Drosophila melanogaster: one gene and its partner. The protein of the gene in region 2 interacts with the protein of the main gene of each other region in a biochemical or structural test. Each region holds a gene or a part of one and is shown on either strand. Other genes may lie near its edges.

What was found.
Region 1: of the proteins of Pdp1 (region 2) and dco, one has a biochemical effect on the other in vitro, tested with the Drosophila melanogaster proteins (one study listed by BioGRID).

What each region holds. Positions count from the first base shown.
Region 1 is NT_033777.3:31,059,501-31,063,100, reverse strand, and holds the start of dco (discs overgrown), read left to right. Parts: upstream 1-1,890; 5' UTR 1,891-2,024; exon of another isoform or gene 2,025-2,636; 5' UTR 2,637-2,726; intron 2,727-3,600. UniProt on the Drosophila melanogaster protein: Serine/threonine-protein kinase which is involved in the circadian rhythm pathway, viability and planar cell polarity.
Region 2 is NT_037436.4:7,831,103-7,835,240, forward strand, and holds the start of Pdp1 (PAR-domain protein 1), read right to left. Parts: upstream 1,972-4,138; 5' UTR 1,452-1,971; intron 726-1,451; 5' UTR 477-725; coding exon 1-476.

The DNA of each region.
Region 1 (3,600 bases), on a different chromosome or scaffold from region 2:
TTTTAACTGCTGCGTTAGAAGCAGAAGCCCAGGGGCGTCGTGCAAAAGGGGGCGGGGCAGTGGGAGCCGCGAGGAGCTGGAAGCGCCCAGATATGCGACATGTGTTGCGGAAATATTTTGCGAGCAAGAAAAGCAGCAAGGCGCAGAGTCAGGAAATATGCAAAAATACAAAAGGGCACTGCAAAAAAATGAGTGATTAAAGTTTTTCAAATATTATTCAAAACCAGTACCAGAGGCAGCTAAGTCTGTCGTCTGATTCGTATTTTTATTTAAAGAATAATATCAAAAACAAGTTTATATTGCGTGTTAAAAAAAAATACAACAAAATTAGGAAATAAATTGTCTTAGTATCCCAATAATGTGGCATACTTTTTTACAGTGTTCTTTGAATGGATCATTTACATACACGCGTCTCGCTCGGTTTTTATTGCTTCGCACCTACATATTTGGTTTACTTTTTTCGTTATTTATTTGTTGGTAGTTGACCATCGGTCGAAATAACGACGATTTTCATTCGTCGGCGATCGCACGTCTTTGCGTGTGTGAGTGGGAAAGATATGCTTTGAATTAGTGTGTGTGTGTGAGCGGTTAAACGAGTTGTTTTCTCGTTTTACTTGTTGTATCTTCAATTGCCTCGTTGGATTGCTTTGTTTTCTCTTTTTCCCAGCCAATGGGAGACAAAGGCGGGTTTTTACGAAGATCTTGAACGATTCACCAATAAATTGAAAATGGAGATTTCTATAGTTGCATAAAAAAAATGCATTCTGGCTAATGTATATAAATACAGCAATGGAAAATTAAAATCGTAGGCAAGTGCAATTAATGTGATTTATTTTGTCTATATTTCATTTTAAATTGCCAGCCCCAATATCGAATCGTTACACTCTTTTCACCCCTTTTTTTGTTATCATTTTCGAGTGATTGCTTATCTACCCTACCCCCACTTAAAAAGAAACACACCTTGGCACATACTCCCAAAAAAAAAAAAACACATTTTCTCATATATGCATACATAACTGGATCTGCTTCCTTTTTTTATGTCATCGTTTCTTGGGTTACACAGCCGGAAAATGCACGATGTGAGGGTAAATGGGGAAAGCGGTTGGGCGGACTAATGGAATTCACACGTGTTTTGCTTTATTCGTATTGCTGCAATAAAAGTATACGTTTCAGGTATTTCGATACATCTGTGTAACATCAAAATTGGCATGCTACCTATAACTGCAAGACATGCCAATGAAATCCATTTTCAATTTCTATTTACACGAGAATTTGGAGCACAAGCCTGTAAAAAGAGTTAACAACTTTTCTTAAGAACATTGCAAATTAAGACATAAATTTTATTTACATATTATTGAGTTATCAAATTTGTATATTAGTATAAATATCATTTCAGAATGATTTTTTTTTTTTTGTATTGTTTATTGTATTCTCTTTGAAAATAAAATTAAGCAGATGGGCCTTTGAATGCATAATTCAAAAACTTTCAATAACTTTAGATATTTTCAATTGCATTTCTGAAATAAGGCGCCACCTTTTGTTTCGGGCGCCACCTGGATACCACTTTCGCCAACTCATCCGCTAGGTGGCGCAGCTCAAAAATATTTTTCGTCCATCTGGCAGCACTGGGTCTATGTAAGAACTAGTGTGCCCATATAACAAAAACAGCGTTGTCAACTTGGCTATTTCACAGCTTTCCAGTTACTCGAACTTTGAACTTATGGCTAGCTGCAAGGATATAATTTCGTTTTTCTTTTGATTTTCCAATACTCTTGCGCTATTTTCTTAATGTGGTACTTCGAAACCAACTTTGGACTATCTTAACTTAGTATATGAATCACAGTTTTTCACAATTACATATCTTCTAGACATTCGCTGAGGAGTAAATACCAGATGGTAATTTTCTTCATTATCGGCGCGGTCACACTGCGAATATCAAGATGGCGTAAATTTGTAAAAAATCGTCGAAATCTATGTGAAATAGCCAGAAAAATTGAAACGAAAGCGCAGCGTTGATGCAAAACGTAAGTGGTCAGTAGCGTTTCGGATCGACAGACCCGTTTGCGAGCGAAAAAGCGGCGGTTACCACGCGCAGGAAAACTCGAATTTCCCAACAGCATTTCAGTGCTCATTGAGAGTGCGAGTGTGTGAGTGAGTGCCCTCGTCTTTGTGTTGGTGTGAAAATGCTGAAGCAGGAGGGATAGCAACGTGCTCGCGGTAGAAACCGTGCGAGTGCGGGCGGGACGACTAGTGTGCACGAATCTATTGCCAGGGCAAACGACTCGCATAAGTTTGGTTTTTTTAATAAGAGTCCGAGTTCCGTTTGGTTTCGTTTAATTTTCTCGAGTTGATTGGCAACAAGATGCTAATCAATGTGGCCATAAAATCAGAGAAGAACAGCATAACCGACTCGAAGATAAACGATAAAAATAACTGAAATATGGCAGCAATGCAGTATTATTAAAATTATTGCATAAAATGCGCTTGCGTGTGGCCCCAAAAAGTGCGACTGTGTGCGTGTGTTTGTGTGCGACTGTGGCAACTACAACAAAAACAACGTCTGGGCTCTAAAACAAAGAAAATGAAAATTATTGTGGCAGAATCAATCCAATTAAAAAATTCGATTTCGATTTCAGTCGAATTAGAAGAAGGAAAAGCAGCGTCGCCAGCAGAGGAAGTGGGCAAAGCGGAATAGGAAACAAGGAATATAAGAAAAACAAGCCACGGTAAGTGCGGAATTTGTTCCACTGTGCGTTCAAGTTTCCCTTCTCCACCCGCTATCGGCTGCTCCTTATCAGCCCCGTTATTCGCAGTGCATTCGTGGAGTGCCGTTAGTTTTCGGAGGCCATTAGCGTTTGACAATTAATTGCAAGTTTCCTTCCCCTTCTGAGGTTTCCCCGTTGGTTTTGCTCTGGTTTTTGGTTTTTCCATTTGCTCTTCCCTGTTTACTTAAGCTTTTTACTTTTGTGGCGCCTGCTGGAACAACTGTTTTTTGTATCTTCTTTGTTCTCCAGTGCGTTTTTTTGCGGAAGCTTTTCGGCAGCCGCCAACGCAACGTGCAGCTGTTTTGCAATTGTAATCAATTCGTGTTTACCCGCTGGTCCGAAACAACTGCTGGATACCCTGGGAAATATTTAGTTACCAATAGGAAAGACCGCGTTTTCCCTGCTAGCCTTCCAGTAAACAAATTAAAGCTCCTAAAATTAATACCACATTTCAATTTGACTTACAGTGCTTATACAGTGATTTCTTTCTGTGTAGAACATGGGAGATACAAATAAAAAACGGTACATTTCGGTTAAATAAATCAAAGCCAAGGCGAAAACAACAACAAACACAGGCAGGTTTTGAGGTTAGAACCGCAGAGTGAGTGATAAAGAGTCGGGAAAAGGAGGAGAGAGAGAGAGAGAGAAAGAGAGAGAGCGATCGAAATGCGTGAGCGGTAAAAGAAAGCGCACAGAATGTGGGAAAGAGGAGTGGGAAGGGGTTAGTGAGTGAGAGCCGCCGAAAACAATTAAACTAAATTTTTGTGATATTTGACCGGCAAGTGAAAACTTTCGGCTTGTTGCTTCGTTTTCTGACTTCCATGCGCTTTATCTT
Region 2 (4,138 bases):
TGCTGCTGCTGCTGCTGCTGCAGGACATGCTGATGGTGCGCTTGATGGTGTTGCTGTAGGTGCTGTTGGTGTTGCTGCTGCTGTTGATGCTGCTGCTGTTGCTGATGGTGCAGGGCGGCGGTTTGTTGCTGCTGCTGCAAGGCCCAGGCATTCACGCCATTGTTGCTGGTGGCACCTGCCCCGCCGCCTCCTGTGGCGCTACTCTTGCCCGAATCATTGCTGCTAACACTGCTGCGATGGTTGTCCATGGTTCCCGATGATCCTGTCATGCTGCCATCATTTCCGCTGTCGCTGTTGCCGCTGCTGCTGTTGTTGCCGCTGCTGTTGTTGTTGTTGCTGCTGCTGCTGTTGCCACCGCTATTGCCCGCCGCTGCAGCAGCAACGTGCGAGTTAAGCTGCTGGAAATACTGCGACAATGTGGCATTCGCGTGCTCCTGGGCAAAGAAACTAGTACACGAATTCGTATCCGACGACATGATCACTGGTTTCAACAACTGGGTACGTTATTCACTGGGTTATCCTTCACTGGTTACGGTTAATCACTGTTTTCTGATGATCCTAGGTGATCACCTCCTTGTGCTGAACGTGATTAAATTTGCTGGTCAGCAGTATAAACTTTGGGCCACGGCCAAAAGTTGTGCGCATTGTCTTTACACTTGGGTTCACTTTAGTTTTTTTGTTTTTAACATAAACGCTTGTCTGTGTTATCTGAAAAAAATATTGTGCTTTTGTTTTTGAAAAACCCAGATTAGTGTTTGAGCACTTTGGTATGTTGCTGGTTTTTTATTTGCCAGTCAATTGATAGCCAATTCGTTGTTGCTAATGAACAGGTGATAGGTGGGTGAAAAATGTTGGGAATGATTCAGTTTTTCAGTTTTATTAGTGAGTATTGAGTATGATGGGGAAGCGATTTTGATAGCAACTGATAATGAATGCGCTTGTTTTCGTGTGGTCAGGGAATGCACTTTGTTTTCGTCTATTTTTGTATGATTTTTATTTAGTTTTCCATTAGTTTTTATTGATGATCATGATGATAAGGAATAAGAAAAGGCATTGTATAGTTGTATAGTTTGCGCTTTCTTTTAGTTCAATCAATTTTGTATAATAAGATTTTTGTGACGCTATAGAAATCTTAAAGTGGAATCAATAGGTACAAAGGCTTTCCGTGTTCTTTATGGAATTTTTGCAATCAAAACATTCACGGTCATTTATTGTTTTTGCTTCACTTTTAAAACGAGACAAACTAATAATTATTTGCCAATTAAACTGTATATCAAATCAACCGAGTCAAAGGCTTCCAATGTTTTTTTTTTTTTAACATTATTTCAACGTAAATTTGGAATATTTTCTATATATAAATCAAAACAAATAAATTATTATTTTCCAAATCAATTGAATTATCCTTTTCATTGATGAATAACTCTTCTTCCTTTCAGCCTTTTGTTGAATACCTTTTCTTATTCTCAGAATTTGTTGCTGCGCTTGGATATGAGATCGTTTTTTGCTTTGAGTTTTGCTGGTTCGTATTTTTCTTTTTGAAGTTTGTTGTTTTGTAGAAAAATTAAAAGTAAATTAAACTGTTTGAAATTAGATCCGTAACTTTAGCGCTGTTGTTTAAAGATTCTCGAGAGATCTCCGGATCTCTCGCTTTTTTCTCTATCTCTCTCTTTCACTCTGCCTCGTTCGATCTCTCTCTCTCTTTCTGCGTATTTATTTCTTTTTTAATAATAGTAATTATTCGAATGACACACACACACACACTTTAGATTGATTTCACAATGAACCCATTGCACTTGAAATTTGATAAAACAAAAATGACTTCCTCGATTTATAGTTCTTCTAGAACTATTTCTGTTGCTTGAAAAATCAATTTCAATTAATTTATTTTGTTGAGCGTAGAAATATTTTTTGATTTTCCCGCTCGAGTGGCGAAAACACGGAACGAGCTGCGACGATTTTCACATGAGAACGCGATGCGACAGAATGCCGGCCGAGTAATTTTCTCGGTCTCAATGTCCGTCTCTGCTTTTCCTCTGCCGCCGCTGCAGTCGTCGCTGCAGTCGACGTCGCAGTCGCCGCTACCGCTCTCTCAGCCAGCTAAAAATTGCAATTTTCTGCAAGTAAGTCGGCTTACGTAAAGGGCGGAGGTCCGAAAACAGTAACCCCTCTCCTACTTTGATAATTGTTTAACTGGCTTTTTTTTATCAAATGTTGGTAGCGCAAAATATTTGTACATGTACAACAAATATTTTTACATACAGCACTGGGAAAATGATTAGCATTACTACTATATTAATCAATTCAAGTGCCATAGGTATTTTTAGTACAGTTCTTGGTATATATTAAACAGTGTTCATATACGAGTACTTCGACTCAGATTTAGTATCAAATCTATTATAAATTATAATTCACTTAGGACTAAACCTATGTTATCTTCTTATATCTAATTATCTATCAAGAACTTAATAATATTTTTTTTTAAAGCAACTTTGTTTTATCTCAGTTATTTCAACATTACTTATAATATTCTAGTAACAAAATTTATTATTTTAAAACATTTTTTTCTTGCTCTTAAATGATTGCTATTATCTTGGACATAGCTGTAGTTATTTGTATATACTTGGGGGACTGGAACTGCGACGCCCGCTGAGGCGCTGAGCGCTGCTGCGGCCAAGTCACGCGGATTTCAATATGACCCAAAGCCCACTGTCTAGCACAGTTCTAAGCACGTGTTGCGGACACACCGGGCACACACACATACGCAAATTAATTGAGAGAGAGCGACAGAGAGAATGAGAGTGCACGTTGAACGACAAGCGCACTCAAAGATACACGTACCGATAGGGTGACAAATAGAGATACGAATGCAACTCAAAAGTTTCCAGTCGATTCGCAATAGAGCGCTATGTCTGTCCCCCTGTAACGGGTGTACCTATGGCCACTAGACTTTACACATCAGCTGGAGTGCGTGGCCGATTGGCCAATTGCCGTGCCAATATTCGGTTAATTCGGCACTGGTGCGTCTGCAACACGTGACGTATGCGTAATGTGCTCCAAAGGATTGCCTCTGTGCCACCAACTAATTACCGCTGCGTCATTCCCAGTAAGTAGATCCGATGGGGCAGAGTGGTGGGGGGGGGGGGTCTGAAGCTGAGTGCTTAACACTCTGGGCGAAAACCCAATGAAACGACGTAGTAGCTGCAACGGAGCGTATACTTAATCTGCATTCTATCGAAGGCGCTAAACTATTGCCGTAGGTCGCCGTTTTTCTTGGAAATTTCAAAAAGTATTCAAACTATTCGAGGGCTTAATCAAGTTTAAATAATTATAATAATTGCTCTCTGTTGGCATAGGTCCGGTAAATTTTCTTAGAAGTTTTGTATAATACACTCAATACTTACCCAATGATCATCGAAGATTTTATAACTATGAATCAGAGCAGTAAGCAATTTGAGATAAAATATAAAAACACATTTCTGATAAAAATGCAAATAAACTGAATTACAATTACATGGATTATTTAAGAAATATATAAATAAAGAAATATATAAAATAAATAAAATATATAAGACTTATTCAATTTGTAAGGTTCCATCTTTCGTTAAACCAATTCAAAAGAATTCCAAGAATATCCTCGCCATTTTTCTACTTGTTAAACTTGTTAAGTCGCCCACCTTTTTTCAGCCTTGTGCTATTCTTCGGTTAAACAAAACTCTTTTTTTTTTGCATTTGAGAAACCCAGTCAGCCCTGAAAACCCATCAATTGGCATAACCATGGACCATGTGGTAGAGCGAACTTCAGTCACCTGTTTTACCCAGGCGGGTCAATTCTGGGAATATCGAGTATACGCCCCGTGCAGCCAGTGACTATTTTTGGAAAGCAACAAGTCATCCGAAGCTCCGAAGCGAAGGAAAAAACGAAGTTTGCTTCGGGATCCAATAACAGAAGGATGTGCGGCAGAGCTTTGCTATTGGCCAGGCTTATATGCCAGTGAAGCCGAGAATAGGGAACCAATCCGGGAAAATCTGCCAACGTCGACATGGACAGAGAACGACGTCGACCGCGACGACAGCAGAGGCAGCGACAGCGGCGTTGTCAGGTTTTCTGTTTGTTTTGTTGTCAGTTGTTGTATTTCGT